Linked DNA regions of Macaca fascicularis. The protein of the gene in region 1 interacts with the protein of each later gene in a pairwise test. Links are inferred from orthologs where the notes say so. Each region holds a gene or a part of one and is shown on either strand. Other genes may lie near its edges.

What was found.
Region 2: the proteins of NFYA (region 1) and GTF2A1 interact in binary tests that used the Homo sapiens proteins (3 or more experiments, as listed by UniProt). The two-hybrid records come from large-scale screens. The link is inferred for Macaca fascicularis from reciprocal best matches to the Homo sapiens genes NFYA and GTF2A1.

What each region holds. Positions count from the first base shown.
Region 1 is NC_088378.1:130,499,173-130,502,672, forward strand, and holds part of NFYA (nuclear transcription factor Y subunit alpha), read right to left. Parts: intron 2,292-3,500; coding exon 2,125-2,291; intron 918-2,124; coding exon 744-917; intron 1-743. UniProt on the Homo sapiens protein: Component of the sequence-specific heterotrimeric transcription factor (NF-Y) which specifically recognizes a 5'-CCAAT-3' box motif found in the promoters of its target genes.
Region 2 is NC_088381.1:149,170,862-149,174,361, forward strand, and holds part of GTF2A1 (transcription initiation factor IIA subunit 1), read right to left. Parts: intron 3,264-3,500; coding exon 3,059-3,263; intron 1,990-3,058; exon of another isoform or gene 1,846-1,989; intron 831-1,845; coding exon 766-830; intron 1-765. UniProt on the Homo sapiens protein: TFIIA is a component of the transcription machinery of RNA polymerase II and plays an important role in transcriptional activation. TFIIA in a complex with TBP mediates transcriptional activity.

The DNA of each region.
Region 1 (3,500 bases):
AAATTCTGGCTAGTGAAAGGTACACGACTTCTTGCAAGTTTCCTTGAAAGAAAGGGTACCTGGCCGGGTACGGTGGCTTACGCCTATAATCCCAGCACTTTGGGAGGCCGAGGCAGGTGGATCACTGGAGGTCAGGAGTTCGAGACCAGTCTGGCCAATATGGTGAAACCCCACCTCTACTAAAAATACAAAAATAAGCTATGTGTGGTGGCGCGCACCTGTAATCCCAGCTACTCAGGAGGCTGAGGCAGGATAATCACTTGAACCTGGAAGGGAGGTTGCAGTCAGCTGAGATTGTGCCACCGTGCTCCGGCCTGGGTGACAGAGCAAGCTTCAGTCTCAGAAAAAAAAAAAAAAGAAAGAAAGGATACCTTTCTTATTCCCTTTCTTCCTAGGCTGGAGTCTAAGCAGGAATCTTGGACTATGAACAGCACACTAGCAATATTAAAGCAGTGAAACAGGTCTTGAGAACTGTGAAAATGTGCTGCCAGTCCAAGATAATTTATCTCTGGACTACTTTTATGCATGAAAAAGAGTAACATCTTATTTAAGCCACTGTTTGTTTTCGTTGTTATAACTGCAGCTGCATACAGTAATAACAAATGCTAACTCTTACAAAAGAGATAAGTATCTAACGTCAATTTTTTGGAAGGTACATGAGAAAACAAGCCATATAAAAGATAATTTCAAAAGTAGAACCCTGCTATTCTCCTCTCCTATATCCTTCCCAATGTTATACATACCCTTCTTTCCTTTGGAATTTTCCCTTCTGCCTCTAGTTTAGCCCGGGCTTGCCTCCTCTTAAGAATACGGTGGTATTGTTTGGCATTCACGTAGAGAGGCTCTTCTTCAAGCATCTCTGCTCCAGGTAGAGGGATTCTTTGGATAGCAGGCACAGAGCCAGCCCCAGGAACCATCTGTGTGAACAGGAAACCAGAGCTTATTGGTGGCATGAAGTATGGACATAGAGTTTCTTGGTTTCTCTTCATCCATTTTTTTCTAAATGCCACAAAAAGTAATTTGTATAGGGTACTTGGGTAAATGCAGATCCCTGGAGAAATTTAAGATCTGTACATTAAACAAACACCCCAGATAACTGTGTCATAGGAGGTTCAGGTGCCACTCTGAGAAACTATATAAGCACGCCCTAATTCATGTCTACCCATGGCTGTAGATATTTCTGCTGCCATCTAATGGTCAGGAACAGTAGTCATAAGACAAAAAAACAGCACAAAAATAGATGAGACCAAGTGCTACTAAATGCCTATATTTATAAAAATAATTTAATAGTTAACTTATAGTTCAATCCTAATTTTTCTTAAAAAACACCAAAACACTGTACTAAATGTGAAAACAAGTAACAGAGTCCTGTACCCCACAGCTCTTTCCCAGATACAACTGCTTTGAATAACTATATTAATCTTTTATAAAAATTATTTATTTATCATTTAGTTCGTAGAAACAAGGTCTCGTATGTTGCCGAGGCTGAGCTCAAACTCCTGGACTTAAGCCATCCTCCTGGATTAGCCTCCCGAGTAGCTAGGACTACAGGTGCATGCCACTGAGCCAGGCTTGCTTCTGTTTCTTTTCATAGCTTCCTCCACCTCTGTGCAGACTTCTGTTACTCATTCTTAATCTATGCATTTTAACATCCTATTTTGACATATGAGGATTTAGCTTTCACTCACACCACCCAAGTCTTCCTATCTTCCCAATACATTTATATCATACTTTTTTTTTTTTGGTTTCTCTATCAATTACAATCTTTCTAATTTTTAGCTTATTTCTTATTTCGTCCATCATGGGCAATACTACTTTCCACTTCTCAAAGATTAATATATTATTCCCTTCATTATTTGAATTCTGAAAAGAATTGCATAAAATCATTATTTATCCATTGCTTGATCTCCAGCATCTAGAATAGTCCCTGGTGAATAGTCCCTGGCACACAGTAGGTGCCCAGAATGAATTATGGTTTGTCATAATGTTATTGTAAAAGTAGATTACTGACTGCCTTAAGGATCGATCTCAATCCCAAGAGGTCAACATAATAAATTTTAGGAGGCATCAAGTTGCATGTTCAAGAAAATTTCGAAGACAAAGCTGAAAAATACATTTTCTTACCATGACCATCCCTCCTGAATTGACCACATTGCCTGCCACTGGTAGTGTCACAGTGACAGTCCCTTGCCCACTGCTGGTTGTGTTGGTATTGGCTCCTGTCTGAACAATCTGTGCTCCTGCCAAACTGGCTGCTGGGATAGTGATCATGCCTGAAACAGGGACTGTAACTTTAAGAAAACAAAACATAAAACAAACAAAAAACAGGCACACAGAACAGAAAGAAGGGAACATAGTTAGTCCCTCTTCTATCTGGCACACACTCACTGATCCTGGCAAAACACACTGAAAAACACAAGGGGAGAAAAAGCACTCTCCCACTCTGGTGTGCTATATATAATCCAAGTAATCACAATCTTTGAAATTCTATTAACTCTCTAGGTCCCAGTTTTGAGTAACTCTATCCTTAGCAGTTTTCAAAAGGTGAAAAGGTTTGGTGGTCTCTTCTTCTACAGGTCAGTCTGACTATAGCTGTACCTACTGCTCTTGTACATATGAGCAATCTGCTTCAGGACAGAGATTTTAAAACTTATACTTTGTTTATCTCAAACTGACAATGAGTCAGTTGTAGTATTAAAACTTAAAATTAAACCAAACATTCCAAGTCCCCAGACTATCAACAGCAGCACTTCAGGATTTGTTCACCATTCTGTTTGAGCTCTTGCCTGGGCTCAATCCAGTTCAGGGCCTCCCCCGAGTAATACAAGAGCACACAGTGCACTCTCTGGATCTTGTATATTGCAAATTTTCAATCACCAAGTCATGGAATCTAACAAAGATGTCCTTTTTTGATTTAACTATTTGACTAACAAGTGCTTCCAAAAGTCTTCAAGTTCAGTTTGTGCACTCCTCCTCCCAGACCAAACAGATCTCTCTATTATTTATGTTATCTATTCCTAGAACATACTTCCATGAGGGCCCTGCATTGTATTTATTTGTTCACATGTCTCTCTTACTAGACTAGAGGCTCTTTGAGAACTCTTCTAAGTAAAAGTGCTGTATACGTAATAGTCATTTAAAGTAATGGAGTGACCCAGAAAAAAACATAAGCAGCAACAGCACTCTAAAGTCAACTTGATTTTTGATCTATTTCTCTCTTTCCCAATAAACTCCCTATTTCTAATCTTCTGTTTAGAAACACTTCTTCCCTAAAAGCTTACACAATCCCTAGATTAGCAACCACTGTAGAAACTGCTACACATGGAATCACTGTTGGTCATGGATGGTGACAAGAAACCAACAATCAATGGAGAGCTAGAGGAAATCTTTTTTTTTTTTTTGTCCAAAAAATATGCAGTGTCAAGTTCACCACTCAAATTCTAAAGGTATCAGTTGCCTAAAGGACAAAAAAGTTGCCCCAAGAAGTCCTAGGGAAACTT
Region 2 (3,500 bases), on another chromosome or scaffold:
ATTTATAAGGAAGTGTTGAACTACTCTGACTGTATTTTAATGTTTTATCCAAAAAAAAAAAAAAAAAAAAAAAGAAAACAACTTCAAGCATATAGGTAAAGATTTTCTAAGGATCTGAAGAGGTTCTTTCAAGTTCACAGTTAAACTATACTATATTTGTTGAGAAATATTATATGTCTGAAATGTAATTTGAAAATGAGTGAGGACTTGTAAAGTTTAGTGGATAGTCCTCAGAAATATAAAACTTCTAATGTAACTCAACTGGTTAAAATGTATTCTTTGGTAATTTACACACTATAATGACTTATTAGACTATACTATGGTTAAGTCAAAGCAATATTTTTAAATGCTTGATTTTAAAAATAGTTATACTGAACTATCCAAACAGTTCATCTTCATTTTTTAAAAGTTAACAATTCTTAGCCTTCCCAACTTCTTGCAATTACCAGGTCTCCTGAAACAGAACCATACTTGGCATTATAAGTTTGGCATTATAAACTTTTTCGGACATAGTAGGGAATGGAGTAACTCTCACAAAGCACCATTCTTTTAGTATTCTTAAACAATTCCATAATTTTATGAACCTTAATGTCTAGGTACCAAGCTAAACTTCAGATCCAATATTCAGGAAACTAAACTAAAATAGCTGTTCTGCCTGAGTCTTCAATAAACTTCAAGTTGTTAATATATGACATATATAGGCATAATCACAATTTGAGTTAGAATTAAGTACAGCCAATCAAACTGCTACATTCTGAGTCTTACCATGTTTGATGCATTCATATGCTGTATCAACTTAGAATCTGGAACAATAACTTGTGGTGCTGTGGCTACAAAAAAACAAGTACACATGTAAACAAGGAACCATGAGGCTATTTTCTGATCACAAGAACATTTTACATACAATGATGAAAACTTTTTTCATGTTTTCCATGTTTTCTGCACTCAAATGCTTTCAATCATTTGCTCTCAGGACAGTATAAATTTATACGGCAAATAACAGCTGTGATATACCCACCCTATACTAGAAAACACAAATATTTAAGCTTTGGGAGGCCAAAGCGGGCGGATCACTTGAGGTCAGGAGTTCGAGACCAGACTGGCCAATATCATGGTGAAACTCCGTCTCTACTAAAAATACAAAAAAATTAGCTGGGTGTCAGGCTGAGGCATGAGAATCACTTGAACTCGGGAACTGGAGGTTGCAGTGAGCCGAGATCATGCCACTGCACTCCAGCATGGGTGACAAGCTCCATCTCAAAAAAAAAAAAAATTTTTTAAGTGACAATTCCTAAGGATGCAAGGGCATTTAGGAACATGAAGTAGTGAGTTACTTAACACCTAAACATACACACATACACAGTTCTATGCATTCCTAAGTAAACTGGATATTTTCAAACATAATTTTGTCTTAACTCAACTCATAATTTTGTTTTACTGATACAATGATACCACTGTTGCAATGAGTTACTAATCCAATAAAAGTAAGCTCAAAAAATTGTGACTAGTTTTTGAAACCTACATAGTCCTTTTCTTCCAACATGAAAGTTGACAGACTCATGCTACTTTCATCGGCTGTTTAAAAAATACAAATCAGCCGGATGCAGGGATGCATGCCTGTAGTCCCAGCAACTCAGAAGGCTGAGGTGGGAGGATCGCTTGAGCCCAGGAGTTTTGGGCTATAGTGCGCTATGCTGATTGGGTGTCCAACTAAGTTCGGCATCAATATGGTGGCCTCCTGAAAGCAGAGGACCACCAGGTTGCCTGAAGAGTGGTGAACGGGCCCAAGTTGGAAAAAATACAAATCAGAAATAATGGCAATGTTACTTAAGCATAAAAGGAATTAAATGTTTGATTCCGCAAATTTCAGAGAACAGACGGATAACTCCATTATCCTAATATTCTCTGAGTGAAGAAAATCAAATTTTAATTTATGATGACCTAAAATCCTAATGCCAGGTCTGAAGGCAACAGGAAGAACAGTCATCAAAAAATAATAAAGGGATAAAATTATTTGATACAAAGTATACACTAAAATTAGGTATGAAAACTACCACTAGACGTCAACAGTAAAATAACCCAAATAGACTCTTCTACTGTGTATCATTACCAATTTTGAGACACATATATATACTGTCAAATGAGGCAAATAAGTAACTAAATGATTACATTAAAATGAACTTTTCATCTACTTCTAGTGTCCTCTCCCATAAAAGCAGATGCACTGAATTAGAATGCTCAGAAAGTTTTATAACTGAATAGACGTGTGTCATGAGAGAAAATACAGATCAAGTTTCTTAGCGTTTTCTGGGCTCAGATTTTCCTCAGCTGTGAAACTGAGCCAAGGGCTATTTTACAAAGCCCTTATAAGGTGCCAATGAAACAGTATCTATAAAATGACTTGCAGAGTACAAAGCACTATGGACACAGTCTACGAATATTTGCTTTTTCTTAGCTTTAATCCAAGAAATATAAATTAAGATATGTTATATATCCACGCTTAACTTATAATAAATCTAATTCAGTCCGTTTAGGCTTACATAAATTACTATGGAACTGAATTTTCAGATTGCCAAAGTATACAAAAAACTCTAGAATTTAAGATATATTTTAAAAACTAATCTGAAACATGTCTCTGAAAGAACATGTTTCATAGAGAAAGCAAATAACTATTTTACCATATAAAATAATAAAGTCCTTAGTAAATAAACCTTTTAGGTTTAACTTATTTCAGGAAATCCATCACTACATAGCCTTTTCAAAACTAAATAGTAATACAACTTAGGCTTTCAATTAGTAAATTACTTGTCTACCATTACTCTACAGATACAACCTACGTTTTATACAAATTTATATACATTTACATACACCCACACCCCTCAGCCAAGAGAAAGTGGAAAAAAAGCCCAAAATCAACATAGGGGTTTTTGTTTGTTTATTTTTAGGTTCTCCATGCGCCCCTTAAAAGACAAGATCCAAGAAATGTAGAATATTTCTCTTCTTTCATGACGACAAACTTAATTCCAAGTCATAAGTAGGAAAACAAATCCAGTCTCACCTTGCTGTGATGCAGGAATAAGGACCTGCTGGGTCTGCGCTTGCTGAGGTACTGTCTGCTGAGGCTGAGCTTGCTGATGGTGGTGATGGTGGTGATGCTGCTGCTGCTGGGGTTGATGCTGCTGTTGAACTTGCAGTAGAAGCTGCTGCTCTTCTGAATGAAATCCATCTACTGCCCTGGACTGCATTAGTTTGTTTTCCCATAACTAAGGCAAAGAACATTAAAGATTTCTAAGTGAAAAATAACTCTGGACAGACGAACACAACAGTTTTATTAATCTCTTTATAAAGTTATTCCATTTTAAAAACTGATACAGACACAGAAATACAACAAATCTATAATTCTAACCCAAGTGTAAACAATAACAAAAACAAAATTTTAAAGTATCAAACCTCATTTTTGCCACATCAGAGTACTGGAGATTTTGTTTCTTTTTCTATCT